Coturnix japonica: one gene and its partners. The protein of the gene in region 4 interacts with the protein of the main gene of each other region in a pairwise test. Links are inferred from orthologs where the notes say so. Each region holds a gene or a part of one and is shown on either strand. Other genes may lie near its edges.

Region 1 (5,030 bases), on a different chromosome or scaffold from region 4:
GGCCTGGGGACATCAGGCTGCCCACCTATACATGCCCTTGGGCACACCCCCAGCTCTACTGTCTATGCCGTGGGCTAGAGACAGAGCCCCCATTCCCGAAGGAATGCTGTGCCCTGAAAGGGCCAGTGGGCACACACACCATGCGAAGAGCACGCAGGCATACATGATGGCAGCTCCTAGGATGGCAACTGTGGTGTCCTCTGTTTGCAGCTCGTCCTGCTGGATGCCCGGGAAGCAGACGGTGAGGTTCTGCCCCTTGTAGAGCACTGCAGGGAGGCTCAAGTGAGAGCGAGCTCACACTTCAGCAGCTGGCTGCACATGGCAGTGGGAGCACTCACCTCTCTCTGGAGGACGGCTGGACAGTGCAGAGAAGGTGAGGTACATCACATAGCAGCTGATGATCGAGGACTGTAGCAGCCCTGACCGTGGCTGTTCTGCAAGGAGAGGGGTTAGAGGCTCCGTGTGGGTGCCAGTCACCCCCTTTGGCAGGTCCTGTGCCCAAAGCCCTGCACCAGGGCACAGCACAGGGCCAGAGGGAGCCTCAGGGAGCTGCACGCTCCACAAGTGCCCACGGCTTCTGCTGAGCTGGGAGTCTGCAGCCACCCTCCTGGCCCCAAGACGCAGCCAGCCCTGCAATGCAGCAGGCAGCACTGACACGCTATGCCATGTCATGCCATGTGGTACTCACTGAGCCGCACACAGGGGGTGATGGAGATGAAGGACATGATGCCGCATAGGCTGCCGTTGACAGTGAGCAGCACCTTGTTGAGCTGGCAGGCGGCCGGGTGGGTGTAGTACTTGTAGAGGAAGGAGAAGGCAGCGGAGGCGAGGGTGTAGAAGGCGGTGGTGGCCAGCAGCACAGCCAGGTACCAGCGCTTGTCCTGCGCTGCGCCCGTCAGCCTGCCAGGAGAGTAATGAGAGCCGGCAGCATGTGGGCACCCACCCAACCATTTTGCACTCACCAGTTCTTGTTCCAGGTGTGAGCAAAGGCGGTGATCAGCACCAGCTGGATGAGGATGAAGGCAAAGCCACCGCAGACGCCTGTATAGTGCCACGCTGCAGGGAGAGAGGGCAGCAATGAGGCCGGCATGAGGCTGTTGCCAAGACACCACAGGTGAGCACTGGCCTGGGCAGGGAGCGGCTCACACCTTGGATGAAGCTGTCCTCAGGGAGGAAGAAGCTGGCGGCGCAGAGACCCACCAGCACCAGCAGCTTCAGGAGCCAGAACCTGCAGGGCAGCGAGTGTCAGGGAGATGCAGCTGTGTGTCACCGAGCAGCCCCAGAGCACACACAGCCCGTCCCAGCCCGCACCCGTTGTGGATCTGAGCGCGGCAGTCAGCGCTGGAGCGCACGTTGAGGAGCAGGGCAGCCTGCGCCAGGTGGAAGCAGGCGGTGCCGAAGCAGACCCGGTAGACGGCCGAGGAGCCCACGAGCTGCGCACAGTCCGTGCCACCGGGCAGGTGTTGGCACAGCAACCCCGAGAACGGCATCTGTGGGCACAGAGCGACGGGTCGGGGGGTGTGACAGCACCTCCAGCACCCGTCAAACACAACAGCAGCCCCATATCACAGTAGCCCCATATCACAGTGTCCCCATATCACAGTGCCCCATATCACAGTGGCCCCATATCACAGCAGCCCCATACCACATCACTCCCTGCTGTTCCTCTCTCACCTTCTCCCTGACGGCCCGTGCCGCAGTTCGGGACAGCATGATGCAGCACACGGCGGAGGCCAGGACGTGCAGCAGGGTGTAGAGGACGCGGGTGCCGGTGGAGGCGCGCAGTCCCCGGCCGGGGCCGCAGCCGCAGCCCAGCTGGAGGGAGCGCGGTCAGCACCGAACGGAACCGAACCGAACCGAACCGAACCGAACCGAACGGAACCGAACCGAACGGAACCGAACCGAACCCCCGCCCGCTGCCCCGCTCGCACCTGGCCCAGCACTGAGCGCAGGACGCCGCGCGCCCTCGTGCCCGCCATGACCCGTCCAGGCTCATCTGGTCCCGATGGGATTAAGGGATTGCGCTGTGACCCGCCCCGCCAGCTGCTCGCTGCTCACACGGGTCACCCCCCGCCCGTGGGCGCTGCCGCGTCGCCCGGTGCGGCCCGAAGCGCGGAGCCGCGTCCTGGGGGGCCCGTGGGGGGAACGGAAACGGAGCTGAACGGAGCTGAACGGAGCTGAACGGAACTGAACGGAGCTGAACGGAACTGAACGGAGCTGAACGGAGCTGAACGGCGGCTCCTCGTGCAGCGGCTGCGGGAACACGCGGCCCATGGGGCGGTGCGTTACACACGGTGCGTTACACACGGTGCATTCATTGCACACGGTGCGTTAACACACGGGTTTGCGTTACACACCGGTGACGTACCACGGTCGGTACATTCATTACACACGGGCGGCCGCAGGGGGCGCTCTGTCCCCTCGGCCGCAGCTGGTGCCGCTCTATCCCGCACCCGCCCCTCCCTCCCCGCTCTCGCTGGTTCCGCCGGAAGTGAGGCCCGGGGGCGGCGTAATGGCGGCCGAGGGGGATGTGGAGCTGGAGTTGGAGACCGAGCCCAACGGCTCCGGGGGGGGCAGCGACGGGGCGGGGGGGAGAGCGGCCGAGAAACCGCGGAAACACGACAGCGGAGCGGCGGACCTGGAGCGGGTGACGGACTACGCGGAGGAGAAGGAGATCCAGAGCTCCAACCTGGAGACGGTGCGGGCCGGGCGCCGCTCGGGGACGCGCCGGGTCGGGGCCGCGCCGTGACCGTGCTCGTTCCCTTAGGCCATGTCGGTGATCGGAGACCGGCGGTCCCGCGAGCAGAAGGCGAAGCAGGAGAGGTAACCGACACACACGTGGCTCCGGGGCGGCCCCGACCCGCTCGGTTCGGGCTCGGCCTCGGTTCCTGCTCCGCTGCCCTGGGCGGGGCTCCCGTGGGTGCCGTGCTCCGCCATGGAGCCACTGCTGCGGCTGGGGCTGAACGGAGCCGCCCCTCCACTGCCGGGCGGTTCTGCCTCTGCTTACAGGGAGAAGGAGCTGGCCAAAGTCACCATCAAAAAAGAAGACCTGGAGCTGATTGTAAGTAGGGGAGGAAGCGCAATTGGCTCCGGCGCGTCCCAGATGTCAGGGGTTGCACAGCGGGGTGTCCCCGATGAGCTGAGCCAACCCCTCCCCCTGCTCCATGGGGTGGTCTCACGTCTGCGCTGAGCTGCGGCTGTTTCCCCACAGATGAATGAGATGGAGATCTCACGGGCGGCTGCGGAGCGAAGTCTGCGGGAGCACATGGGCAACGTGGTGGAAGCACTGATCACCCTCACCAACTGAGCACGGGCTGCTGCTGGCTCTGTGCTCCCTCGTTGTGAGAAGAGCAACACGGCCTGGGCTGGAGACGGTGTGCGTTAACTTATTGAATAAAGGCAGCGGTGGGAACAGGCTGTTCCTGTGGTCCGTGCAGCACCGAGCATTTCCCGTGCTGGGCAGATCTGAGAGGGCACCCGGTGATGGGGATAATGTGGGGACAATGTGTGGCATCAGGGTGGTGACACCAAGTTCCCTGTAATTAGAGTGTGAGTGCTGGTCCCTTTGTGCAGCTCAGTGAGCTTACCCAGGATTCTCATGGCTTGTCAGGCTGATCCAGGACAGGCTTTTGGTCTCCAGCACAGTGGCTCTGCCCTGACAGCAACTCCTGTCATGCTGTCCCCACTGCAGCAGGCAGAGCAGCACAGCTGGAAAGGAGCTGCTGCCGCCTTTGCCCCTCAGCCTCCTGAGTGAGGGCAGGAACCCTGATCACAAGTGATGCAGCACCCTTGGCAGTTTACCTTTCTCAGGCCCGTTGCTGCTAATGTTGTGTTGCTGCACTATTGAGGTGAGGGGAAGTGATTGGCCAGGGCAGGGTAACTCCACTACTGAAATTTGTAAGAAAACAATTGTTTTAATCAAAACAATCCCATCCCCCTGTACAGATAGAAAAGCCAAGCCCTGCAAAAACAGGGTTAGGAGTCTGTCACAGCTGTTCCCACCCAAAGGAAGATCCAAAATGACAATGGGGAAAGGTAGGAGGAATAGAGAGATACTGTGGACCAGACAGGGATAAGTGTCTGCTAGTTCCTCTGAAGGTGGGGATGCTGGAGCAGGGGGTGCTGTGCTTCTGTACAGCTGCTCTGGTGCTGCCAAGGCTCTCGCAGGCTGGTGGGGTGGTGACATGACCATGAGGCTGCTCAGCATGGCTGGAAGTCATCTGCCACAAGAACCAGCGATGGGAGTCTGCCGAGTCTCTGCAGTATAGGTCATGGATCATGCCACCAACTAACAGGGAGGATGCAGTGCAAGGGCCCAGAGGGACAGCTGATTGTGGCACGAGTCCTGGTGCGGTGTTTTGTCCCTGCTGTTCCTGCCCAGGCTCTCAGGCAGCTGATAAAGCAGTGCCTCTCTGCCCAGTCAGCCACAGGACGCCCTCCTGTCTGCTCCCTTAAGTGGTCTTCCGCTTCTTGGCCGAGGGTCTCTCGAAGACATCCCTCACGCCTGCTGCTTTCTGCTTGAAGAATTTAGTGTTCTGTGCACTTTCTTGGCCCCAGGCAGAGTCAAACGAGGTGGTATCCTGGTCTACCAAGTGCGTGTACTTTGTCCGTCCTGAGCGCCCAAAGTTCTTGACCTGGGAGGCAGGAAAGATTGTGAGCATCAGTTGGTGTACGATGTGGGGACCCTATCATGTCACTGCTCCTTCCCTCGTGAGATCCCACCGATCCCACGAGCCCCAGCTGAGCAGCACTGGTGGAGCTGGGGCAGCGCACAGACCTGCCACACACCCACCTGCATGACTTTGGGCAGGATAGTTTTGTTGAAGTGGTCCTCGAGGGTAGGGGCACTGAAGTCCCGCTTGTACACCTCCTCATCTTCGTCCTGCGGAGGAAGGACACACCTGCTTGACTTGCAAGTTTCCAGCAAGTGTCAGTAGAAGACAAGTGGAGAAGAGCTACCGAGAACCAGCTGTCCTGGGACTGCTGCTCCATGCAGCAAGTCCCTGACGAACTGCATTCGTGTCTTTACT
Region 2 (6,342 bases), on a different chromosome or scaffold from region 4:
GCAATTTTAAAGCAAAGAAAGACAGACTAGCTTGACATCATTATTTTGAAGCCAGTTTCTAGTAGAATATTTATTTTATGAACTTGTTAATATATCTTAAAATTGAGATAATGGACATGACAAAATTCAATATATTCATGTTGCTTTTGAGAATAAAATTGCATACATCTAGACCATAATGCACAAAATCCAAAGTAACTAGCAAAATGTATTGAATCTTTATGTAGTATTTATCCGAGTGGCATATTTGTTTCATCAAATAAGTACTAGAATGTGTAGTTTTCCATTAAACTTATTCACATCATATAAATTTATTTATTTCTAAAAGCATACAATAGAAGAGAACAGGATTATGAGTTAAGATACACAAGACAAGAGAATCAATTAGAAGTGTTAGAGCAGAAGTCTTTATTTCAAGGACATAGCAGCAAAGGCAAAAAGAAGTGGAAAGTTCATTTTTTGAATGTATGACAGTTTTCTAACCAACAGCAGTGGAAGTACTGAGTTATATATTGATGTCAGCTTGGTGATAAATAAAAATGCTTGATGAAAAGAAGCAACTCATGATGGACTGAGGGGCTTTTGTTCAAACCTCTAGTCAGCTTTCAATGATTTTCCCAACTCCACATGACTAAACGCTGCTACTATGTGTTATTAAAAATGAAGGAGAAAGTTCTGCAAGCTTGACTTATTGCAACTTCTGCTATTTTCATGAGAAATACAAGATTTGTTTGGCTGGGAGGTTTACTGCCAGAAGGGCTATATTTGTTCTCAAATAAATCTTAATATCAAAAGGTGTTCCTTCTGATAAGCATTTACTGCTACAAGAGTATAAATGACTAGCTAGTAATTCAGAGAAAATATGATAGAAAATACTTAACATGGAAAATTTTGAAAGATATTCCAAGATTTAATCTAGTATCAATACAACAACCTCTATTGTGACCTCTTAAAGCCACACCCCCTGAAAAGAGTAACCTGGGTTTCTGTTACGTGCACCATCTCCAGCAAGAAGTATATGCTTGGTCCTTCTTCATAAAACATTCTTATGCCTTAGAACAAAAATTAGAGAAGATAGGAAAGCTACAGATGTTAACATGCATCAACTATTAACAAAAATATATACATTTTCAATTATTTGATTTTGACACAATCTGCATTGCTGTAGCTAAGGAAACTAGAGTACATGATACCTCATCTAAACACTGAAATGCAGGACTTGATGTTACATCAGTGGATACTTCATCTCGGGTATAGACTGTTGGAGCTAAAGCACAGATGGGTTCCTCCTTCTCGACTTCCAATTCTTCTTCATCAGAACTGGAACTTTCATCACCAACTTCACTCATTTTCTGGAGATCTAGGAAGTAACAAAAATACCAGAATTTGATTAATTAGGTCCTGGGATACACGTGACTATACAGTGTCTACATGCGAGACCCACATTCAAACAATAAAAACCAGAATGTTAGCAATTTGGATGTCTCTGTAAGTTCAGGAAAGACTTCTAGGAGACAGCACTATCCCTCTAGCACTGTTTGCGTATTTTAAGAATCCTCAAACAGTTGGCTAAGTTCTCTTTACATAAGCATTTGAGAATACGTAAAACAGTACTTAAAGATCAGGCATTGAATAACAGTTGGGAAAAAAAGTTGAATAAAAGTTGGAAAATGCTTCAGGAGTCATTTCTACTCCACATAAACAAGGCTTACTTGAAACCTAAATCAAGTTCTTTAGGCCTTTGACTATCTGAGTTTTGAAAATTCATTGAAGTGGAGACTTCAGCTTCTGCCTTATAAAGAAAATCCCTGGGTAGGTGGGATTACCACAGGTATAACTCCTATGACTTTCCATCTGTCATAGTACTAATCAAAGAACTTGCCTCCTCTCCTCTCCAACCATGTCTGCCCACCCTTTGCTGCACTTTCTGACCATGTGAGGTACCTATATATAGAAAGGGAGCTGCTTTGCAGAATGTAGAGTTCTTGAGGAAAAGACATTGTCTGACATGTGTAATATCATTAAAACATTTGTTTTAAACCACTGCATGGTCATAATGAACAAAAAAAGAAAGAAAAAACAAAACAACAAAGCCATACAAAATGCAAAAATATGATATAAAGTCTGAGAACAGGAGGTAGATATATAACGAAATCTGGCACACACGTCTTGCCGTGCCATAGCAAGAAAGGAGAGCCAGAGACTGTTTGTAGAGTAAAACATAGAGGGCAGAAGAGACAGGATATATATAGAGGAATTCAAGCACTTCTCCACAAGTTCTCTATAGTTGGCTTTAGATGCAGTGGGCAGACAAATCACTATCTTGGTATTTTAGTTCAAAATGTGGGGAGAAATGTTGATGATGGCTGCAAATGTTCACTTGACTCTTCCAGTTCTTTTTAGGGTAACTTATTCTGCTGCAATAATGATAGAATAGGATCTTGACACCAAAATGCTGAACTCACATAAATTATCTACTCTTATCATTATTCTCCATCAAAAATATCCTTTATATTATAAATCAAAAATCCACAGTAAGAACGAGGGAAGTTTTTTGTGAGTATTTTAATAGTATCCTTCAGGTTTCTCCAATGAAAGAACAAGAGTTTTGCATTCCAAAGTCAGAAAACCGACAGACAGCAGAATGTGTTTTCTTTTTACAGCTGTGATGGGCAAATGACATAAAAATGTTTTGCTTAGCATAGCCACTTTCTGAAAAATCTATTGTCTATAAAGGTAGCCTACAAATGGTCTATAAACTGCACTTTGTTCAGTGCTGTTTGGAATTCCTTCAAGAACAGTCTGACTTTTAGAGAGATTTTAGCAGCTGCATTTGCTTATGGAAAAAAAAAGCACTTTCATGATCACTCCTGAAGGAGTCAAAACATTGTGAAACAGCTGTAAACATCACCGAGGCCAAGAAATAACTCTGAAGCACCGTTACATATACACAATTATAAAAGGAGACTTGCTTCTCATCTACAGTATTGCTGAATATTTGAGAATATGCATTTCACCTTTATGGTTGCTGTTGCTTTATTTGTGTCTCTGTACAAATTTCTGGTAGAAATGAGGAAGAGTGAAAAGCACAAGAGAATAAAAGCTCTAAGCAGAGCAATGCCAAAAACTGGGAGCTTCACCTGTGTAGGCATCTTTATTTATAACTGTATGTGAAACAGAGTTGATGGGAGTAAAAAAACACCCAGGTTAACACTTCTTCACCTTATGACAGCACAAAAAATGTTTTCACCAGAGACTACATTTTGCTGAGCAAAAGGAGAACAAGGTCCCCTGAATCTGAAATGTTTGTAATATGATGATAAGACACAAATATAGACCCATCAGACAGAGGAAAACAACTAGACAGCCTTGGCTATTGGGATAAATGCTAGTCTCCATTGTTCTTTAAGAAGGAACAGAACAGATTTGCCTTTTCAAAACACTTAGCAAGCAGTAGCATAACAAAAGACATGTGAAGTTTAGCATTCTTCAACTATCCACTACACAAGTACATTTAAAATCCAGCTTAGAGAAAATCACATACATGCAGTTCAAAAAAACAAATTGGAAAAATAGTATTTTTGCCACATCTGATAAACAGTTTAATTCAAATAGCAATGAAAGCTGAAATGATTTCTATATTTACAGAGCAGTTCAATAAATATGGATGTTCTTAAACAGCAGAACTGCAAACAACAGCAAGGCCTTGAACCAACACAGTGAATTTTTGAGGAAAAGAATTACAAGTCTGTTTTAGAACCCAGGTCATGTCTTGTGAAATTGCTTCAGGACAGCAATAAAAGTCTGAATGCAGATTCCCAAGGTGAACTCCAGCACCTTTACTTCAGTTCCTCTCCAGCAATCAGCAGCGTTAATACAAAAGCCAGTGAAGAGTACAGAAAGGACATGCGTCGTTGTATTGGCTCCGTCTAAAATGACAACTGCAGTAAGTGGTAACATAAGTAAAAGCAGTAAAATTTCATTCTGAACACGAAGAGATACAGCTCTACGTATGGAGATGCATCAGCTAGACTTATTAAGAAAGCACTGAATTTATAAAAGTCTCTGCTGAGGGAACTACACTTCATTAACACTTTACACTTTGTCTTAATTGGGTTACCTCAGAAAACAGATCCATTACAGTTAAGCCAAGTTAGTTGAATTGGTGTGGGCAGAAACATAAATGCTCCAAACCACTAAAGGTTTTCTTGTTTCATACAGGAGCACAAAGCTAAAGCTTAGGCAAGTTTAAATTAATAGGTGTAAATCCACACTAAGATAAACCAAGGCCATAGACACAGATCTCCTTCCCAAGCCAGTGACATTAGTGGATGTTGGGTATCACTGCCTTCCTCTGCAGGAGGATGTTACCTTCCTTCTCCTTCAGTGCTGATCTGCAGGAGGAATGGCTTTAGGACCATTTTCTCAGGCAAAATCAGCTAAGGAAGCTTACTATTTTTAAGTCAATAGTATGAGATAAAGAGGCTAATTTTGATGGAAGTTAGCCAAAGAGCACATTCCCATCTGTCCTGCTGGCTGGGAGGCAGCACCCAGAGCAGGGAGACAATGAACAGAACCTCAGCCAAACTACTGAGCATGACACAGGATATTTATCTGCATCTCCATGCTGACTAGTTTGCACACAAATGTTTAAATAAGAAACATGGCCTCTGAGAATGAGACAACTGGCTTAGCATTTTGCACTGGATTAGTCAGAAAAAAGTCATACAACTCAGCTGGAAGATCAGAGCATTGATACCTAGAGAGACCCAAAGCTGGTTTAGCTCATGACACCTTCAGCCAGCACTGGATGCCAGGGGGCAGACAGAAGAATCCATTAGTGGTGTTTTCCTGAACTTATGCAAAACTTTCAGTATCTGCAAAATCTGACACAATGGAGTTTCTCATTTTACCTCTTTGAGACATGCATAATCAGTTCTTTTTGTTTTGAATCTGGCTCCTTGATGTCTCCTAGTTCTTTTACTGGATGGGTCATTGAATAAGCTCAACCTTTCTATGCCACTTGTTTTCCAGCACAGTCTCCTTGTTTGGTAATCCTTTCTCTAGGCAGAAGAAAACAACCTACCTGCAGCTACTGGTAATAAAGTCCTTCTCTGCCTTCTGCTGTCTCTGTCATCCTTCTCCAAGTCCTTTCCAGTTCTATCATTTCCTCTTCAAAGAGAGGGATGAGGTACTATTGGTAACAAAGGGCTACTGGCTATTTATTCAATGGCACAGCGATTTTCATTTCCTAACATCGTATTTCCTAATGCTTCTTTCCTATAGTTAAAGTTAGTTAAAGTCTCGTAAATAGCCAGACCTCTGTACTAACTGGGCAAAGCTTCAGCTCTAAAGGCTGTGTCTTTAAAACACAAAGCTATACCAACATTAAGCAACAGCTGAAATTAAAATTACATAGTTACAATAGGTTATTATTCCAGCAATTCAGAGTACTTTGTTTGATTAGACACGCAGCTACACAGACAACTGTTTTTGGGAGATGATAACACGCTGCATACCTAAATTGCTTAATAATTCTGTTATGAATTCCATTGTTTCTGTTTGTTTTCAAGTCCCTGCTGTTTAGGATGGAATCACCCTGAGCCACCCACAGACTTCATCTGCTGGAGCCACAGTGAGATAGGGCTTAGATACGGATGATTTGAATGGTGAGAACTGTCACTTCCCTTTTCATTTGGTTTCCATGAGGAACTTGATTTCCTCAGAGCTCTTGTAGCATGACAAACAAAAAACAGCCCTGAAATCAAAGCCTCTCTGCCCTCTGTACCCCGAGAAGAAACTGTTTCCGTCGCTACACACACACCGAAACACCACAACAAAACAAAACAAGCTCTACCTAACCACCAAGCCCTACTATGAGCTGAAAAATCGGAGGGCTCAAGGAAGCAGTTCAGTAAGATACAGAACAACTTAAATTGCCAACCACAAAAAAGCAGATTACAGTAATGCCATGTAAATATTCTACAGTAGAAACACATGGAATATTGAATAAACTTAAGAAGATGTATCCTGACATTGTGGTGCTCAGGGATATGATTTAGCAGAGGGTTGTTAGAGTTAGGGTACTATGATTAGGCTGCGGTTGGACTTGATGATCTTCGAGGTCATTTCCAACCTGGGTAATTCTATGATTCTATGATTCTAAAGTTCTTAAGCTGAATAAACACAAATGAACAGCCAGCTCTGAGCGGGGCTAACCTTGCCCAAGCACTGGGTGTTAACTCAAAGGATGGGTTCTTGAAGAGAGCAACCCCAGCACGAGCAACACCAGCAAGAATAATGATACAGGGAGCATTCAATGTGAAATGGAATCAGTGTTAA
Region 3 (6,318 bases), on a different chromosome or scaffold from region 4:
CTGAACATGGAACTCCTCTCACTTGAAGGTACTTTGTACAATGGAAGCCTTTTCACAACTCTATTGTAAAAGACCTTAGGGAATCAAATTCTTACGACGCAAAACCTGAACAGAAACCAACCATGTGGTCACAGGGACTAATAAGCAGGCACTGGATTTCACCATTAAAGCGGATCATCGCTAAAGCCTGAACTTAAAACTCCTTTATTTCAGTTAAACCTTTAATTCAGCCTAAAGGGAAGCCTGTGCCCCAGCTACAGGCTGCTCAAACCCACAGCCAACGCTGGGTGTGTCTTTTTTCCTGGAACTCCCATGCCCGGTTACCTCTGGCTGGTTGGTGACTAATACGAAACGGCACGCACACGTTATCAGACCCCTGGATGGTTATCTCTGCTGTGCTCTCAGTGTCCGTCACAAAGGTGACAGTCCTTCAGGAAATCAGCTTCCAGGCGTTGCTATGTACAGTTGTGACTACACACAAACCTGCAGGCTGACATCGCACTGTCTGTGCTCCATGGATTTGCTCACAGCCGCATCTCGAGTGGGAGCTGCACAACTAAACTGAAGCACCCCTGCAGCACTAGCAGCACTGCACTCACACCGATCACAGCTGCAGACATCAAAATTCATTGTATTCCACGACAAAAAAATGTATGGAGCGATAAAACCTCACCTGAGGTGTCAACTGTACCTGAGGGGAAACTATTTTAATAACTTGGAAGAAGACAAAGCAGAATGTCTACTGAAAACAAACCATTGGAGAGTCCTGTGAGAGATGCAGGCAGAGCAATGCACAGACAGCAGATGTAACTGTAGCAGGACTTTTGCTGCGTTCTTCTCGTGGTTTTAAAGATGTGAGCTCTGCCCTACAGCTGGAAATGATCCCTATTGAGTGCAGATAGAACAGACCCACCCTGTGTCTATAGCAACGGGACATTTGACCTGGCTGCTGGACTTTGACCGGACCTGCCATAAATGCACATTTATGCTTCTGAGTCACACCCAAAGCTCGAGGTCCAACCACAGTTCAGACACCTGAATGTACACTTTGCATCCTCATGGCAAGGAGCCCTGCTCTGAATGCTGCTCGTTTTGCTTTGGAAGATGCACATTTCCAGAGCAGCTGAACTCTGCCTTGTTACAGCTGCACTCAGCAAACTATTGGTAGTTCTGTATCCAATCTGAGCTGAACTGGTCCCACCGAATCCCACACTCAGCTCTCAGAAACCTGAGGATGCTGCCAAGATCCAGCATAGTGCCCAGAGAACAGCACGTCACCCATTGCCTTGTCCCAGGTTAAAAGACCAGTATGTACAGCAGCTCTTTTCCACTAATATAAACAATACATGTTAATTGTTCAACCTGAATAGCCGTACATTATTAATACACTGAAGTACACTAAATGCAGTGCCCCAAGGAACTCCACCTGCTTTGTCCTGCTGCACACCTGCTGCCTGCTTTCATGCAGCACCAGGAACTCCCCCAGCTCTGAGCTCTTTCACTCGATTTCCATTGTATCTCTGCCTGTCACATCTCAGCAGTACATACATTGCAGCTGGAGGAACTACAAAACACAGCTGCTGGGTTTCTTTGTGTGCTGATCAGAGGCAGCTGATTTCCTGTCAAAGGCAGAGCAGCCAGAGGGCACAACGTGCTGAGCACGCTGCCAGGGCAGGAGGGCTTGGAGCTGTGCTGGAAGCTTGGTCTCAGCACTATGGACCAGCATCTCACATGTAAAATAAAGGGAGCCATCCAGGTGGTTCTCATATCCTTACAGCTTTGCCTACTACATTTTCTGCCTTATCTCAACCACACTGCAGCCCAGTTCAACTTCTAAGGGCTTTCTATCACTGAACAGTGTACATTCAATGCAAGCAAACTACACCAGTCATTTTGACAACACTAAGATTACTGTTCTGTGCTTACTGTAGAATGAATGAAGGCGGTAGATACAAATGCCACCTTCCTGACCATTTCAAGACCTTCCTACACCATCCTCAGGCCCAGACGATGGCTCACACAACAGCAATGTACACTGGATTGAGATATAAATATTTAAGGTCTCTTGTCACATACGGTCAACTCATTTTAATTTCATAACCCGCACAGGGTTTGTTCGACAATGGCTCTATAGAGATAGGCTGGCTAGGCTGCAATAAATGATTCAGCAGCTCGTTTGTGTTTTATCTTTCATTCAAAATAAAAATGAATAAAGCTAAATTTCCTGAGCAGTTTTTTTTCAAACGCAGATGGAGAGATTAAAAACCCTTTGCATTACAGAGTGTGGGGACAATGTCCTGCATGTTATTTGTGCTGACACCAATTACAGTATGCGTCAAGAGAGGTGGGGTTTACAACCACCGTGCTTCCTCTTCCAAAGACAATATAAGGTTTACAGAGCACACAGCACTTCACTCCAACTCGCTGTCGTACAGTCAGCCGCTTCACCTTTGCAGGAGGCACGATGTCCTTCTCCACACAGAGCTTCCAGCTGGGTACAGCCGCCCGTTTGCAGGGCACAGCTCCTGGTAGCAGCGCTCTGTCCGTCAGGAGCGCGGCCGTGCAGCGGATCCAGGCGCCCAGTGTCTATGGTGGGGCTGGCGGCTACGGCACCCGCATCTCCAGCAGCACCGTCCGCAGACAGAGCTCCAGCGGTGCCTTCTCCAACATCTCTGATAACGACCTGCTGCTCGCTGGCAATGAGAAATCAACCATGCAGAACCTTAATGACCGCTTGGCTGCCTATCTGGAGAGGGTGCGCTCTCTGGAGAAATCAAACTCCCTGCTTGAAAAGCAGATCAAGGAGTGGCACGAGAAGAATACAGTGGGCATAAGGAGTGACTACAGCTCATACTTCCAAACAATCGAGGAACTCCAAAACAAGGTAAGATCTCCTACAGCCATCTATAAAAGCATAAACTGCAGCTTTGGGGAAGGTAACAATCTACTGTGGAAAAGTAGATCAAATAGGATCTGTCTCACCTGGGAACAGGAAATGCTTCATTCTGGCCAGACACAAATTAGTGACAGACTTTCTAATGTTTAAGACTCACTCAGTGTCCTTTGCGAGCTGCATTACCTCTGCTTCATCCCTTTCCAACCTTTCCTTTTTAGATCAGTGCTGCACAGTTGGAAAATGCAAGGCTTGTCCTGCAGATTGACAACGCCAAGCTGGCTGCTGATGATTTCAGACTGAAGTAAGTTCCACGCACTGCCTGCACTCCTTCATGCTTCAGTTATTCAGGATAACATCTAGTTATTAGTATCAAAGCTGAGAAGTAAACCACAGAGCTCAGTAAAAACAAATACTTTAGGCCTCGGGCTGTAGAAGTTATTGATTTGATGTTTCTGTCAAACTGCTGCACTTCTATGGTGGCGAAAGAAGCCTTGTTTTACAGGTATGAAAATGAGCTCTTGCTCAGGCAAAGTGTTGAGAGTGACATCAATGGGCTCATGCGAGTCCTTGACGACCTGACCTTAACCAAGTCAGATCTGGAGGCACAGATTGAAAGCGTGAATGAAGAAATCATTTTCCTTAAGAAGAACCATGAAGAGGTGAGAGCAGCAGAACAGTGTCATCATTTCTTTTTTGTCAGAGGCATTTACAAATTAAATTTAAGAGTTAAATTAAGAGCTAAATTTAAATTTAAGAATTAAGAGTTGCTCTGTTTCTGTATTTCTGAGCTTCTGCCCAATATTTGGGCCTGGAAGTTCACTTTAGCTGATGCTAACGCAGTGCTCAATGTTGTAGGAGGTTGAAAGGCTGCGCAAACAAGTGGGTGGCTCGGTTAACGTAGAGGTGGATGCTGCTCCAGGTGTTGATCTTGCAAGTATTATGGAAAACATGAGACGGCAGTATGAAGAAATGGCAGAAAAGAACCGCCAAGAAGCCAAAGAACGATTTGAAAAGCAAGTAAGGTCAATTGCTTCAACACCAGCGAGAGCCTCTGTCATGTCTGGTCACAGCTCACAGTCCTTCCATTTCCATATTTCAGACAGAAGCACTGAACCAGGAAGTAGCAATCAATGTAGAGCAGCTGCAAGAACAAAGGAGAGAGGTCACAGATCGGAGACAGATCTCCCAGAGCCTGGAGCTGGAATTACAGACCCATCTGAACATGGTGAGTGATGAACAGTTCTTGAAATAAGGGCTGTGTTTATAGAGATAACAACAAAAACTGGGACATATTTCAAAATGTAATTTTAAGGCCAAGATGTATCCTCTTGAACAATAAATCTCTGTTCTTTTTCACCAACTGTAGAAGAAGACTCTGGAAGATTCTCTGGCTGAAACTGAAGCACGTTACAGTTTTCAGTTGGCTCAAATCCAGGAAACAATTGCCAGGTTAGAGGCTCAGCTCAGGCAGCTGCGGGCTGACATGGAGGGGCAGAACACGGAGTACAGCATCCTGCTGGACATCAAGACTCGCCTGGAGATGGAGATCGCCACGTACCGACGTCTGCTGGAAGGGGAGGACATCAGGTGAGGAAAGGGGCTCCGGCAGCTTTGCACCACTGACAGCAGTGCAAATGAGCTCTAAATTCTCAGACAGAAACGGTGGTAAAATCTGCCTATTGGCAACTGGTTTTTGAAGGAAAAAAGTCTGCCTGCTGCCCGGCTCTCAGCTGTAGGCTCCAAGTCTGTGCTCCTTCAGAGGCTGCTGCAGTGTTCAGACCAGTCTATGCCACCCTCTGCACGGGTACACACTGTTACTCTTCTTGAATTGAGTATCTTGACAGCCGCCCACACTCCATGAACAAAAGTGATGCAGTTTTAGATAAACTTTTCCATAACTGTAATGACAGAAACTCAGGGCACATCATTTTAAACTGCTTTTGGTAGCATGAGCACCTGACCACATCAGAGCAAGGCACTCAGTGAGCGCACACTGACCTCCTGCAGTCTATGGCAAGTCTGGGAGCCCGTGCAGGATTCCATCCTGCTGCACTTCTGCCACCAGTAGCTGAGCCACTTATATACGTAGGAGGTGCAAATGAGCTGACATTTACTGTCTGGAAAGTCCAGCATCCCTTGCTCTGCAGTGCACAGAGGTCTGTGAAAGAGTGCAGAGCAGCACAAGCAGACAGCGCTGCTTCCCTCAAAGGTCCTATGGTTCAAAGGTCAGTTCTGGCTCAGGAACCAGGCCGGGCAAATCCTCCTGAGCTGAAGTTGTAACACTGCAGAAATTAGCCTGCAGGTGAATTTCACCTATAGCTGACGCTTAACAAAATTCACTTTAGTACTGAAAACTCATCTAAACACGTGACAAGGGCTGAACTAAAGTCTTGATGAAAGGAAATATACCTGTTTATATTAAAGGTGCAGAAAACATGCCAGGTTGTTTCTTCACTATGTCAGGCATAATATACTTACATTTTTCTGTTTAAAATCCGAACAGGGTTGTCCAAGAGGATATACTTACAAATGAACTTGAAAAAGGTATGTTGCACAGGCATGTGCTTTTGATGGCTTCCTGTTTAAATGTTATGGAATTAAGCGGGCTGATTTCAAAAAGTGCAGTTTCAGAGCAAATAATCAACTGGTGAAATCTTAAAACAAGAAAACAATCAACTGTATGAACAGGTAACCTCCAGGGATTATACAAGCCCTGCTTTATGTAAGTAACCCAGGTGCCAGAGGTAAAACCACAGGCTTCTCAAAGGGCCAGATGGATGGCAAAGCCATGGAATTCCTTTCCAAGGGCTTTCAGAGGTGTCTGCTTCTCTCCACTGACTGCACAGAGATTGGGCTCCTAAACGAAGTGCACACACTTTAACATTCTGTCAATGCACACTGCATTTTTATTAATTTACTGTTCAATTTCATTACCAGAATCAAGTAAAATTAAGAAGATCAAGACAATTGTTGAAGAGGTGGTTGACGGCAAAGTCGTGTCCTCTCAGGTTAAGGAGATTGAGGAGAAGATGTGAGCAGCACCAGCGGAGGGAGAGCACCAAAATGACACCATTAAACTTCATAAGGAAACCAATTTAATTCTCCCTGAAATCAACAAGGGTTGAAAAATGCCAAATCCTCAAGTCTCAGACAATCCAGGTTTTCATCTTTGTGTGTGTTTGTTCATTTTATTAATAAAACCAATAACATGTAGATTTACATTCAAAACTGTATTAAAATGTTGATTCAGTGCATCTCTTCTGAACGTGAACTATCACTGCGGTGCACTGGAGACTCACTTCAATAAATGTGATTTCCAAATAAGAAACGTCAATTGCCATTTCATAATAAATTAAAATGCAAAACTGAAGAAGTCTTCTCATTAATTGTCCATCTCTGGGGATTTCTGTATTGCCAAAGAT
Region 4 (6,674 bases):
AGCAGGGGGCTGGGAGAAACACCACCAACAGCACAGGGCTCCAGCCTTGATTCTGAAGCAGCTGGGAGAATGGTCACTGCTGCATACACAGCTGGGATGGCCTGATCTCTTAAGGGCACTGCACTCAGGAACCCAACCTCCACAAAGAAACAGGGCAAACAGCTCAGTGCTTATAACCAGCAGAGAATCACTAAGACTTACAAAGTCCTTTTCCCGTTGATGCCTCTCCTCTGCCTCCTTCAGCATTTCCTGTGCCTGCTGGAGCTTGGCATCCACGAGCTGCTGCTGCAGGTCCTTGTGTTTGAACACCTTATCAATGTGCTGCCAAAGGAAATGCCACCAGTCACTGACATGCGAGGTCAGGGCCCTGCTACCCACGTGGCACAGATCCCAAGGAATGACCTCAAATCCCAAGGGCTCTCTCTCCCCTCCAGCAGCAGTTTCTGCCCTGGAAACATTCTCCACAGGGCAGAATGGGTGCACCACAGCAGGCCATGCCAGGCCCGACTCACCTCCTCCCGCAGCTCGTACTGCTCAATGAGCTTCTTGAGCCGCTCTGCCAGCTCCATGTTCTCCTGGCGCAGCTTGGAGTTCCTCTCGTTGTGCTGCTCCATCTGCAGCTGGATGTCATTCAGTGTCACCTGGAAGTGGGATGTCACCTCCTTCCGTTTCTCCTCTTCCTCTCGTGCTCGCTGGACACCCTCCTCCTGTATTAGAAGGGCAGACAGCAACGTGGCATCACATCAGGCAGATGAACAAACCTCCCTGGGCCGTGATGATCTGAACCCACCCAACTTCCCACTGCTGCTGGTATCAATCAGGAAGGCTCTGCAGGCCATTGCATGGCAGCTCCTTCACTCCAAGAGCTGAGCAAGCCCACAAATGATCACTTCCTTCAAAATAAAATCACAAGGGTCAGCTCCCTCCCCTGCTGTCCCTTGCAAGATAACAGATTAACAGCACAACTGAAATCCTGCACTGGACATCAGACTGCGGGCGACCACTCCTTAAAATCAGCCCTGCAGCAGGTGACCTAAGGGTTTGGGAGGAAGCAGCTCCTGCAGCAATCCCAGGAGACACTCGCCTTGAGGGTACGGTTGTGTCTCTGGAGCTCACGGCACAGGCTCTCCAGCTTGCTGCGGGCCAGGATGGCCTTGCTGTGCTCACTCTGCAGGTGGTCCTTCTCTTGCACCAACTGTGTCTGCTTCTTCTGCAAAATCTTCATCTGTTTCTGGGAGTTTCGGTGTTCTTCCAGCTAGGGTAGGAGAGCAGAGGGCAGAGATGCAGCAAAACAGACCAGGGCAATGCTGTGCCCATATAAGGGTACACAGGGATCAAATAGGTGTTCTGTCTACTCTGAAAGGACAGGAGCTTTATAATAAAAAGCACAGTCAGATGAATACAGAACCCAAGGTCTCCCACACACAGCCTTTCTCCTTCCTGAATTAACATCCTACTGGAATTGGTGAGAAGTGCACATTCCTTCAGGACCTCCAAGCACTCAATGCTTAAACAGAGCAGAGCTCTGAGTGCTGTCCCAGTGCTCACTGCAGCAGCGTCCTCCCACTGCCCCAGAGCCTGGAATGAAGAAACGAGGACTCACCAGCTCAGCGTATTTCTTGCACAGTGCTGCCAGTTTCTCCTCTGGCGTGCTCAGGGTGTTCAGGGTCTGCATCAACAAAGTGATTTCTTTGCCTGCAGTGAGACAGAATTAAACAGAAAGGTGACGTCACGTACATGGAGTTGTGGCTTATAAAGGCAAGGACAGGAGACAGAAACCAGGTCTCACACCTGTGACCACCCTGGCCCAGAGTTCCCATCTCCAGTGCCTATTTGGGGGTTTGTCCCCCAGATTTCACCACATACAGCAGTGAACAATTGAAGCAGCTGAGGAGAAACGTGGTTATCAGAGTAGGGAACCACCAAGGGGCCAACTAGACAACGCTGTGTGCAGCAGAGGGGAAACCTGCACAATTCAGAGGCTGCAGCAGCACTCAGGACTGATGAGTGTCTTTGCAACACTCAACGTTTCCTCCCATACCACAAGAATAAGATGCTGTACTATTTCCAAACACGTACCTAAGGTATTCATTTCTCTAACAGCACTTAGTGCAGTATAAAATCCACATCTGCACCAAAGTTCTCAGGCTGGCAGCACAACCACAGCAGGAAACCCCTTACCGAGGCCCTTGGCTTTCTTCTTTTCCTGAGCCTTCTTCTGATCCCGCTCTCCACACTCGTCTCCAGGTCGAAACTCTTCGGTCCCCTTCGTTCCTTCCTTCTCACCATTCATCTCGGGGCTGCCTGACTCCTGATCTCCGTTCCTCGGGGACTCACTGAGGCACTTCTCCACTTCCTCTGGCTCCACGGGCTCACTCTGCCCACCGTCCTCACCCGGACCCTCCTGGCTGGCATCCACGCAGTACGTGTTCAAGATGTCCTCAAGCTGCCTGCTCAGCTCCTCAGAGACATCCTGCACGGCAGCCCGGGAGGACTTTGTGTCGTCCTGTGCAAGGGGAGCTGTCGGAGATACAAGCACAAAGGCGTGATGCTTCCCCACGCCGCCTGTTCTCTGCTCTCCACGCACACACAGCAAGGGGAAGGTTTCCCCGAGCACCTCAGTGCACCAGGGCGGGCTGAACTCCCAGCACACAAACTGCTTTGTTCAGGCTGTGCCTCCAGCCAGCTGCCCTGACAATGGAGGTGCATTCCTAACAGCCTCTTTTGATCACGAGAGCATGACCGAGACCCTGACATCTGTCAGGAGCAAGAACTGCCCCCTCCCACCATCCTCTAACCAAAGCAGGTTGTGTGTGAGCCTTCCCTCGGAGCAGCAGCCTGCTAATATCCCCAGAGCCTTTTTTGCACAACAATAGATCTATAAGCTGAGTTTGCCTCTTTGCTCACATATACGAGCAGCTGTAGCGGCTCAGACCCACATCCCATCCCATCCCATCCCATCCCATCCCATCCCCATCCCATCCCATCCCCATCCCAGCACAATCCATCCCATCCCAGCAGCCCCTCAGCACTTCTCTACATCCACAACTCCTCCCAAGCAGAGCTGTACAGCATCAGCTATTGAACTCACTGCATTGCTGTGCATCTCCTACGTTCCACAGTTACTAAAACGCAGGGCAAGGTTAATTGAACCTGCTGTGAGCTGACCACCCATTCCTGTCTCAATGTCACAGAGCAGCACTAAAGGAACCGATCGCTCAGGGACTCTGTGCTGCTGGGATCAACGCTACGAGTCGCACAGAACGGACCGGACAGAACGGGCCGCCCCGTACCCAATACCGGGACGCGGCGCTGCCCGCACCTTCCATGGCCGCGCTGGGCTCTGCCGGTTCCGCCTCGTCCCCCGGATCGCCGCCGGTTTTGGCCGCGGGTCGCGGGGCCGCTTTGCCGTCTCCGCTCTGGTTCTTCATGGCGGCACCGCTCCGCGCTCAGCACCGGGAGAACCGCTGGAACGGAAACCGCAGCTGGAGCGGGGAATGGAGGGAGCGGACGGGAACCGGGACCGAACCGGGACCGAACCGGGAACCGGGACCCGCCGCGACCCAGCGCTGCGCCACGGGGACGGCATCGAGGAGCCGCGCGGCACCGGATCCCATGGAGCCCGGTATCAGCCCCACACAGCCCGGTATCCCCGCACATATCCCGGTATCCCCTTATAGCCCTGTATCCCCATACAGCCCGGTATCCCCGGATCCCCCCGGTCCGACCGGAGCCCCCGTCCGCTCCCGCCATCCCACGTGACCCCCGTGACGTCATCAACACCTCCCTTCCTCCCGCCGTGACGTCACGCCCGTACCCCCGTGACGTCACCGGCAGCGCTGTGACGTAGCGGCCGCTCCTCCCGGTGCGGTCGGTGCCGGTTGAGGCGGCAGAGCCCCGTTGTACCGGCGGGCAGCGCCCAGCAGCGCCCAGCAACGCCCGCTCCCCCCGCCGGTCCCGCACTGAAGGAAGCGGTTCCGGGCCGGGCCTCGCAGCGTGCGCTCATCGCGCAGGCGCCGCCCCGCTCCGCCGACCAATCAGCGCCGAGCAGCCGCGGGGGCCGCCGGGAGACAGAGGCGAGGAGCGGGAAGAGCCGCGGGAACTACAACTCCCGGCGTGCCCCGCGGCAGCCACTTCCGCCCCCCCCGGTCTCCACAGCCGCTCGCTCCCGGCCCGGCTCCGCTCAGCGCTTTGTTCGATCCCGGCCCGGTACGAGGAACCGACCGTGAGCGCGGCCACACACAGCGCTATAACGGGAGCAGCTCGGGCCTCGTGTGCAGGTAACGGCTCACAGCGCTATTACACACATTACATTACACAGGTGTTGGTTTCCTCTGGAGCCCGATTAGACAAACAGGTGCCGATAGATCGTATAAAATACACAGATCTGAGACTTTATGAAGGAAAATGTTTGTGAGCGGGACGGAAACATGGAAATGAGGCCCAGTGTGTTCACACAGCACCAGAACCGGGCTGTGGGGCTCCAATACAGCTGGGGATGGGGCAGCTCCCATAGTACAGCCCCCCCAGCCCCAGCCCTGCTCACAGCCACCAGCTCCGGCTGCTTCGACCCTTGTCAACAGCAGCAGCTCAAACCAACCAACAATATCAGGACACGGGGAGGATCCTCCCACAGCCCCTCACCCTTTGTCCATGTTCTGCAGTGTGAATCCAGCCCAGCTCTGCCAGGATCGCTGCATGGGGAGCGCAGAAAGGCCAGGGCTAAACTCTGCTCTTGGCAAATTAGAGTCTTTAATAAGAGTAACATGTGCAAAAAAATTAAATAGATCAACCCAGGTTTCCAGAATTATTCTCGTCTGAATACTCGCTTTTCTATTTCTGTTCTTACCCAACCCAACGCTGAAACCTCAATTAAGTACCCGAGGTAAGAAGTGACATTTGGGAGAGATCACCACAAAGAAAAATAAACCCAAGAGGTGCAACGAGTTACCTCAGTGTCCTTCCTCCACCCAGATGCCTGCTTTAAAGACACGTATGCAGCAGCAAAAAGAAAATAAACGTGCAAGACATCCCATTTTCTTCATGAGGATAAAGCACTCTGTCTATTCGTTTGAAGGAAGAATTGTTTCCTAACAGGTGGAGTGAGCGTCCAGCCTTCCGTTTGCAAGGAGGAAATGGGATCAGCAGCTTCTCCCAGTTGTTTTGTGGCAAATTTGTGGTGGTCTTTTTGCCTGGGGCGTATTATAGCTGGAAGCCTTCCATAGGGGCTTCAGGTTGCTGGAAGATGAATTGCTGCTGGTTCTCATCTACCTGGGGAGCTAAAGCAGAGTCATCCTCTACTCCAAAGTAGTGCTCAATCAGATCAAATGCCTTCTGATAAATCTCTTGATTCTCGTGGCTCTGGAGGAATTCAATCTTATCCAAGCCTTAGAAAAGACAAAAGTGGAATGTGATGAGACAGGAGATCCTAACGTTCAAGCTGTCCCGATCCATCCTCCACCCTTCCCCCTATTCATTGCTTGTCTGTGTTACGTGAGCATTTTGTGAGCAGCACCGACAGCTAAAGCCAACTATTCCCATTTCTCCAGAGCTGCCTGTGGATTTTATCTATATCAGCAACCATTAACCTTCCCAGTTGCAGGTTTAGCTGATGCAGTAAAGCAGGAAGTCTCCAGCAAAGAACTGCGAGCACTGAACTGGGCAGTGAAATCTGTGCCACTGGCTGGGAACATTCAGCAGCTGCAGGGGAAGGAAGCAGGGCCTGTCCCAGCAGCATTCAGCAGAAGGGCAGCAACAACTTTAGCTGTCCTAATTAAACCCACTGCTGAACGGGAAGAATCCGAGCACTGCACACTGAGGAATGTCAAGAATTATTCTTACTGGAGGAACCAGGACACACAATGTAACAGTCAGTGAGAGGGCAAGGGAAAAAACATTAAAAACGATGCTGACAGTATACAGGGCATTTCAGACCAAAATAGGAACCGTTCCTCAAAGCATTAGGAACAGGACAAAACCACCAAATTAGGGCTCTCCAGGGACAAGCTCCGTCTCTCTGGATTTCTGTCATGCGTTTGCAGTGCACAGCTGGGGACAATTAGACAAATCAAAGACCCAAGAAGTGGGTCTTACTCAGCTCAGCTTACATTGATTAATATTCCCAACAGTGTGAGCCGCAATTATCAGCCTGGCCTCTGGGTCTAAGAAACCTGGATCACAAGCACAGTAGTGTTTGCTTCCTGACATTATCTTATGCTGTATTGTAACATTCTACAAAGACAGTGTGATCTATTATTGGAACAAATACCAGCTCATCTGGAGCACACCCAGCCCCTTAACTCATCAGAAAAGCAAACAAAACTAGCAGACCCTTCCAATATATTCTACTGTGTTCAGAGTCAGTGGCACCGAGGGCAGCAGAACCTACCGTAGGCCTCTTCTATCATGCTGCAGTACGGGTTGATGCCTGTCCCGCTCTGGCTGGCCTCCTGCTCTCCCAGCCTCAGGATGTTCTCCAGGCCATTCAACGCCACCTGAACAATCTTGGAGTCCATGACAGTAAGGAGGTCACAGAGAGGCTTGATGCAACCCAGGTTGACCAGGTATCTAAAAGAGATGACCAGGAACATTTGCCTTTCAGGACAGCAAGCACCACCACTGCTCAGTTATAAAGAACAGGACAAGCGATTCAAGCTAAAATCAATTTCTCTAAT
Region 5 (6,511 bases), on a different chromosome or scaffold from region 4:
TTTAGGCCATCCATCCCTGGATGTGTTTAAGAGTATATGATTTAGCAGAGGGTTGAGTTAGGGTACTATAGTTAGGCTGTGGTTGGACTTGATGATCCTCAAGGTCTTTTCCAACCTGGGTAATTCAATGATTCTGTGATTCTATGATTTTTCATGTTTATATCTTGGGAATTCTGCCATAGGTTCTGTTGTCTGCTGTCTTTTCTTGTTGAGAAATGGCTTATGCTAAGCTACTCCTTTTCCTTTCCATCTACACTTTCTAAAAGAGCTCCTCTAAATTTAGTTGATATGTTCATAAGCATCCAAACTAACATAGAGAATATAAATATTAAAGTGTTTTTAGAGCTGCTGTGAATCCATCATGTGAGAGTTAATAAAACAATGTGATTTCAACACCAAAGAAAGCAATATCACATGTATGTTTCTTACAAGAGTCAGACTCTGTCTCTTGCAACAAAAGGGTTTTTCTCTAACACAAGTTTATCGTCTGAGATTGCAAAAAAACGGAATCAGTATATAAAATATCACTCATCACTTGTTGGGCTGCACCTGGAGTACCACATCCAGTTCTGATCCTTGTATTTCAGAAACATCATGGACAAACTAGAAAGGGTCCATGAAGACGATCAGAAATCTTGAGAACCTGACCAGTGAGGAAAGACTGAAGGAGTCAAGTCTTTCTGCCCTGCTGGAGGGCCAGGGAGGACCTCATTCCAGTACATACAAGGTGGCTACAAAAGGATGGAGGGTCTCTTTTCACAAGTCTCCACATGGATAGAACAAGGGGCAACAAGTCCTAATTAAAGAAAGAAAATTCTTATAGTGAGAACAATCAACTGCTGAAAAAAAAAACTCTCCAGGGATGTGACAGAAGTTCTCAAGACATGACTGGACTGGTGCTGTATAATCTCATCCAGGTGCCCTTTTCCAGCAATGGTTGGACTAGATGATCTTTTGAGGCCCCTTTCAGCCTCCATGCTCTGTGATTCTATGATTCTGAGTTCTAAATTCTCTTAGGACTTAGGACTTCTTCAAAAGCTCTTAATACAATTTGTTGGTGGAGTGGAACTGCAATAGAATTTAGGTTGCCTGCCTTTCAGCACTGTATCTTAATAACTACACACTTCCCAAACATTAGTGACAAAAGCTCTACAATTCCATGTGAAGTCCACACCAGTGGCAAAATACATCCTGTATGAAGGGACTCACTTCCAATGCTTCCCTTCAAAACAGGAACAGCTGTGGCATGTGTTCTGTTAGGTGAACAGACAGGATACCTACCCATCAATAATGTGGTGCAATGCTACGAAAGAAAGAGAAGAATCTGGCAATTCAGAGTTGCAGATATTGGAAAATGAACAACTCTCTTTATACAGCTTCTTCCAGTTCTTCTACTGGAGCTGTTAATCTCATTTTGCTTCATGAATCCCAGGACCAGGCTGAGCAAGGGGCATCCTATTGAAGCTATACATCTTTGTGCCCCCTGGATCACTGTTTGGATTTTCCTGTATTCTGTTGTTGCCAGGTAATTCTGAGTGTCTGCCTTGATAATTTTCCATGTTTGTTTGTTTTAATATCAATGCTGTGCCTCGTCTTGTTTGACATTTGGTCATATACTGTTTGGTCCGTGACCTGAAATAACTCCTCTTTATTTTCCTGCAGAATTGTGCTTATATCTTTCCATTAATTTGCAGGTTTTAAAGTAGTTTCTTTTTCTTTATTACTTTACTGGCTACCATAATTTAATGTATGTATAAATATCCTTTACAAAATCTTTAATTATTTGCATTTATTATGCTTCCTCTCCATCTGCTTTGAATACTACTAATTACCTTTACAAAGTCAACAAGTGAAAATTTTCCTTCTCATTAACAAGCTCTAGTCAAAAGATAACGTCGGTGAGCAAAAGCAAATTGAAAATGTCATGAATTTTGTAGGAGATTTTATTTTAATATAGCAAATGAGATACTCAGAGGAGCATCCAGGAGTTAGAAACACAACTTTGATTAAATGCAGTGGGAACCTGTCCTTCAGAAAAGCTTTTAAGGCATTGATATGTCATTTTGAAATTATTTTTCCGTGTGAATGTTGATATTTTTTCTTCACATTTTATTTGGGCATGATAGTTCAATTTCTGAATAACTGATTAGCACTGAGAAGGTATGAGACAGGTAGGAAATTAAAATGAGCCCAGTGGGAATAGGGGTTGAAAAGTTAAACTTCAAATGAACAACAGGGAATTTGCTGGCAGTTACACTGCAAATTATTTCCACAACGTATTTTAAATCCTAAGTTTATGAAATGTTTCAATAACCAACACCCATCCCAGCCATGAGCTGCAGCTTCTCTGTGAGAGTTCTGTGGAACACAAAGGCTGTGCTGAAGTCTGAGTAAGCAAACTTCATCACGAATTTTCCTGAAATTCTACGTATACTTTTAATCTTTCATTTTAAAAGCGTTGTTCATAATCCATAGTTTGCTCAGTCCTCCCGCCTCTCCCCTCACAGGTACCGCTCCCTCTTCCCGCCTCACCCCTCGTTGCCGCGGTGACGGCCCGGCGCGGCCATCAACGGCCGCGGGGCAAAGCGGGCGGGGAGGGCGGCGGGCGGGAGCCGGGGCGGGATGGGGGCACGGGAGTGAGCGGGCCGAGGGGCCACGGAGCCGGAGGGAGCCGAGGGAGCGGCAGGAGGAGAGCTGCAGGTAACGGGAAGGGAGGGGAGGGGTCCGCTGAGGGTACGGCGAGCAACGCCGGTGATAGCCGGCAGTGATAGCTCTCATCAGGAGAGGGGTGGTCAGCAGGGATAGGGAGGTGATTGTCCCTCTCTACTCTGCTCTTGTGAGGCCCCATCTTTCATACTGTGTCCAGGTGTGGAGCCCTCAGTACAAAAAAGACATGGAGATTTTGGAAAGGGTCCAGAGGAGGGCCACGAAGATGATCAGGGGGCTGGAGCACCTCCCCTATGAGGACAGGCTGAGGGAGTTGGGTTTGTTCAGCCTGGAGAAGAGAAGGTTGCGGGGCGACCTCATTGCAGCTTTTCAATACCTGAAGGGAACTTACTCCCAGGAGGGGAGTAAAGTCTTTGAAAGGGCTGACAGTAGCAGGACACAGGGAAATGGTTTTAAGTTAAAAGAGGGAAGATTTAGGTTGGATGTTAGGGGGAAGTTCTTCACTAGGAGAGTGGTTAGGCCCTGGAACAGGCTGCCCAGGGAGGTTGTGGATGCCCCATCCTTGGAGGTGTTCAAGGCCAGGTTGGACGGGGCCCTGGGCAACCTGATCTAGTAAATGTGTATGTTTGGTGGCCCTGCCAGGCAGGGGGGTTGGAACTACATGATCCTTGAGGTCCCTTCCAACCCGGGTCATTCTGTGATTCTGTGATTCTGTTTCCCTTCCCCTGTTGTTTGAGGCGGAAGAATCACAGAAATTGAAAGGAAAGCACTGAACTGTCCACCATGCACTGCTTTGCTAAGTACGGGTGTGCTTGGCATAACCTGAATTATATGATTTCTGCTTTTCCAACAGGTTAACAAGACTTTGGGCAGTATGGAGCAGGGCTTAGAAATGTTTCAGGAACAGACTCACTCTAAGTAAGTACAGACTATCTGGGGGTTTGAATGCGTAACGGAGTTGAATTATATCAGTTTATTAAGGATATAAAACAAAATATTAACAATTTTAGAAGCAAATATTCTTCTACAATATATTGGAATTCTTTTGTGAAAGGTGTGAAGAGGTTACTGACAACTAAGATAGCACAGTTTAGAGCTTTGATTTTCTACTTTTATGTATTTAAGTCCTTAAAATCTGCATACCTAAACAAAAAGAAAACAATGTAAACTGGGTTTTATTAAAATACTAAGAATTTTCATTTTGAGTGGTCTTCAAAAATTATTGAAGTTGCTAGGCTACAGCTATATAAACTTACATATCACAGCACTTAAAACATGCAAAAGTATTAGAAACAAGGTTATTGTTCAAGCTGTAGTTTTATTTTTCACATACAATAACCAGAATTGTTCAGCCAGGTATTATGTGCACTTCTCTTCCCAACACACTCATCTTTTCTCCACATCATCCAAATGGAGCTGAAGAAATGCAGTGCAGCTCAAACCATGGGTGAGATTTGATGTAGGATCTCACGTCATCCAGCCTGTTCAAGGAACAGAGCAAGATAGAGCACCTCTCCATATGTCGTATCAAATAGTTCCTCATATCGCTATTATCGAGAAGCAATCTAGCTAATATGGCACAAACTAAGTGTAAAAGTACTTCTTAAAGTAACAGAAACACAAATATTCACCCACACCTTATTCTGGATGAAGAAAGCTTTAATATGATGTGAAAGCATGCTCGGTTGTACTGAAGAATGATTCATGCAGTTCTTATAATGGAACAAAATAGCATGCTGCATTCCAAATGCATTCTGAACAACATAGCTCCTCTTTGGCTTTGAGGGCCATTCTTTTTGATAGTTGCTGATTGGTAAATATGGTCTCATAAAAACTTGAATTTTAAAAATATATATTGATATTCTTTGGCTACTTCTTTAATAAGTCAAAAGCCCATTTTCTGAGTTCAGACCATAGAATGGAATCATGGAATCATAGAACAGCCTGGGTTGAAAAGGAACATAATGATCATCTGGTTTCAACCCCCCTGCTATGTGCAGATCCATAGTTGTAATTGGCATATATGAAATTTCAAGCTGCTGTAGATGGATCTAGAAAGTGATTTATCCCACCGTACAATAGATGTTCTAGATAGCTATTTATTTCCATTAATAGTACCAAGAATCTTGAAGTTTAGTCTAGGGTACACATCCAGCGAGAGACCGACATTTCAGTCATAGAATCATAGAATCGCAAGGTTGGAAAGGACGTACAAGATCATCTAGTCCAACCGTCCTCCCTTTCTGTGCTGATGGCACTGCAGAAATAATGCAGGTAGCTTTGAAATTTGGAAAAGGGATGAAATTATGGGATAGAAATCATGACAATTATATCACATCTGCAAAAGCTCGTAAGTCACAAGTTATCCATCCACACATATATGACAATACATGGCTAAAAATTGTTAGATATATCAGTTGTATCTCATGCACACGGTAAAAGTACTGATGGAGAGATGTCACAGACAGCTTATATCTTTTGTATTTCTAGAGCAGCTCTTTAGAAGAGGAAAGGAGTTAATGCTGGCTCTAGAAGCTGGGTTAAGGATCATGAAGGCCTGAAGTTGGTAAAATTTACTATACAGGATTTATTTTCTCTAAATTTGGAAATATACACGTTTGACATGCAAATAAATAATCATTAATGACAGCAGAATATGAATCACCTCTATTTTCACTATTAAGGAAATAGAGTAGCTTGCCTACACCTCTTTAAAAATGAATTACTTTACAGTGTTTTCAGACATTTCATAGTAAATGCAACAGAGTAGCTCCCACTTGCTTAAATCCAAGTCATTGGTTCCATGTGGGAGGAATGCATTTGGTGAATGCAGTCAGCAGTGTAGGAGTGCTGAATACTTATGAGTAAAATTCCCATTCTTCTTCCCTTTATAGGTAAGCTTTTCCCTGTTTTTTTAGCTGATATTATATTAAACAAAATATGCCAGAGTTTTCCACATTCCACCTCCAGCGATGGAATGAAATTTGCATCATTCTCATACCATATCATTGGTCATATTTTGAGGGAGTATAGTAACCATTGTTTGCAAAACACCAAAGGGATTAAAATAACAGGCACAGCAGCTCTTAGTCCTCCTGTGCTAGTAGGTGGGGGTAGTTGCCAAGTGCATCTTTATGTAGTGATGTGCATAATGCTACAGCAATGTTAGGGAGCAGTTCTGGGAGTAGAACAGAACTCCCGCTCCTTTCAAAACTCCTTCCTCATGATGTCATATGGTACGGAATGTCCCTTTGGCCAGTTTAAGTCAGCTATCATGGTTCTGTCCCCTCCCAGCTTCTTGTACCTACCCCCAGCCATTCACAGGAGAGGAGAAACTGGAAATGGAATGGTCTTGGCTCTTTACAACACTGCTTAGCAACAACGAGAAATGTTATGTTATCAACATTATTTTTCTTCTACAACCAAAACATAGCAGCATAGCAGACACTGTGAAACCAACTAACTCTGTCCCAGCTGAAACTAAGACAATATTACCTCTGAGTATGTGGTTCAGTTTGTGTTTGATTAGTCGGGTTCTGCTAAAATAGAGTTCCTAATTACTTGGCACTTAGTTGGTCCACTCAATAAAATCTGCCAGATTGCAAAGTACATGACACAAAATGGTATCCTGTGCTAATTTGGATACTGAAATCCTCACCAACACCCCTTAGGACATTTACATGTCTGCTGCTGTGTGCTTTGTCATTAACCCTTCTGCATTTTGCTGCTACATTATGCAGATGCTGCACCAGTTTTTAGTCTCCATGTAGCTATGTCTATGGCAATTATTTAAGAAATTACTGACTGATGGGAACAAAGGAAGGGAAAGGAAGGGAAAGGAAGG

What was found. The genes of interacting proteins can lie anywhere in the genome.
Region 1: the proteins of TXLNA (region 4) and HYPK interact in binary tests that used the Homo sapiens proteins (3 or more experiments, as listed by UniProt). The two-hybrid records come from large-scale screens. The link is inferred for Coturnix japonica from reciprocal best matches to the Homo sapiens genes TXLNA and HYPK.
Region 2: the proteins of TXLNA (region 4) and CCDC146 interact in binary tests that used the Homo sapiens proteins (3 or more experiments, as listed by UniProt). The link is inferred for Coturnix japonica from reciprocal best matches to the Homo sapiens genes TXLNA and CCDC146.
Region 3: the proteins of TXLNA (region 4) and keratin, type I cytoskeletal 20-like interact in binary tests that used the Homo sapiens proteins (3 or more experiments, as listed by UniProt). The two-hybrid records come from large-scale screens. The link is inferred for Coturnix japonica from reciprocal best matches to the Homo sapiens genes TXLNA and KRT20.
Region 5: the proteins of TXLNA (region 4) and DEUP1 interact in binary tests that used the Homo sapiens proteins (3 or more experiments, as listed by UniProt). The two-hybrid records come from large-scale screens. The link is inferred for Coturnix japonica from reciprocal best matches to the Homo sapiens genes TXLNA and DEUP1.

The regions. Positions count from the first base shown.
Region 1 is NC_029525.1:18,267,773-18,272,802, reverse strand, and holds HYPK (huntingtin-interacting protein K), read left to right. Parts: upstream 1-2,414; 5' UTR 2,415-2,512; coding exon 2,513-2,698; intron 2,699-2,767; coding exon 2,768-2,823; intron 2,824-3,009; coding exon 3,010-3,061; intron 3,062-3,211; coding exon 3,212-3,307; 3' UTR 3,308-3,417; downstream 3,418-5,030. Other genes in the region: SERINC4 (serine incorporator 4), read right to left, coding at 140-266, 339-434, 689-900, 963-1,056, 1,149-1,228, 1,312-1,490, 1,675-1,815, 1,932-1,979; MFAP1 (microfibrillar-associated protein 1), read right to left, coding at 4,452-4,634, 4,793-4,882. UniProt on the Homo sapiens protein: Component of several N-terminal acetyltransferase complexes. Inhibits the N-terminal acetylation activity of the N-terminal acetyltransferase NAA10-NAA15 complex (also called the NatA complex).
Region 2 is NC_029516.1:11,494,905-11,501,246, forward strand, and holds the start of CCDC146 (coiled-coil domain-containing protein 146), read right to left. Parts: upstream 3,914-6,342; 5' UTR 3,770-3,913; coding exon 3,745-3,769; intron 1,361-3,744; coding exon 1,194-1,360; intron 1-1,193. UniProt on the Homo sapiens protein: Essential for sperm flagellum biogenesis and male fertility.
Region 3 is NC_029542.1:4,172,764-4,179,081, reverse strand, and holds keratin, type I cytoskeletal 20-like, read left to right. Parts: upstream 1-2,405; 5' UTR 2,406-2,464; coding exon 2,465-2,884; intron 2,885-3,114; coding exon 3,115-3,197; intron 3,198-3,398; coding exon 3,399-3,555; intron 3,556-3,751; coding exon 3,752-3,913; intron 3,914-3,995; coding exon 3,996-4,121; intron 4,122-4,262; coding exon 4,263-4,483; intron 4,484-5,399; coding exon 5,400-5,440; intron 5,441-5,833; coding exon 5,834-5,931; 3' UTR 5,932-6,266; downstream 6,267-6,318. UniProt on the Homo sapiens protein: Plays a significant role in maintaining keratin filament organization in intestinal epithelia. When phosphorylated, plays a role in the secretion of mucin in the small intestine.
Region 4 is NC_029538.1:4,543,633-4,550,306, forward strand, and holds the start of TXLNA (alpha-taxilin), read right to left. Parts: upstream 4,003-6,674; 5' UTR 3,832-4,002; exon of another isoform or gene 3,818-3,831; intron 3,468-3,817; 5' UTR 3,432-3,467; coding exon 3,323-3,431; intron 2,521-3,322; coding exon 2,182-2,520; intron 1,696-2,181; coding exon 1,604-1,695; intron 1,256-1,603; coding exon 1,085-1,255; intron 708-1,084; coding exon 513-707; intron 322-512; coding exon 202-321; intron 1-201. Other genes in the region: KPNA6 (importin subunit alpha-7), read right to left, coding at 5,203-5,387, 6,389-6,567. UniProt on the Homo sapiens protein: May be involved in intracellular vesicle traffic and potentially in calcium-dependent exocytosis in neuroendocrine cells.
Region 5 is NC_029516.1:166,306,719-166,313,229, reverse strand, and holds the start of DEUP1 (deuterosome assembly protein 1), read left to right. Parts: upstream 1-2,598; 5' UTR 2,599-2,700; intron 2,701-3,520; 5' UTR 3,521-3,541; coding exon 3,542-3,585; intron 3,586-5,157; exon of another isoform or gene 5,158-5,233; intron 5,234-6,511. UniProt on the Homo sapiens protein: Key structural component of the deuterosome, a structure that promotes de novo centriole amplification in multiciliated cells.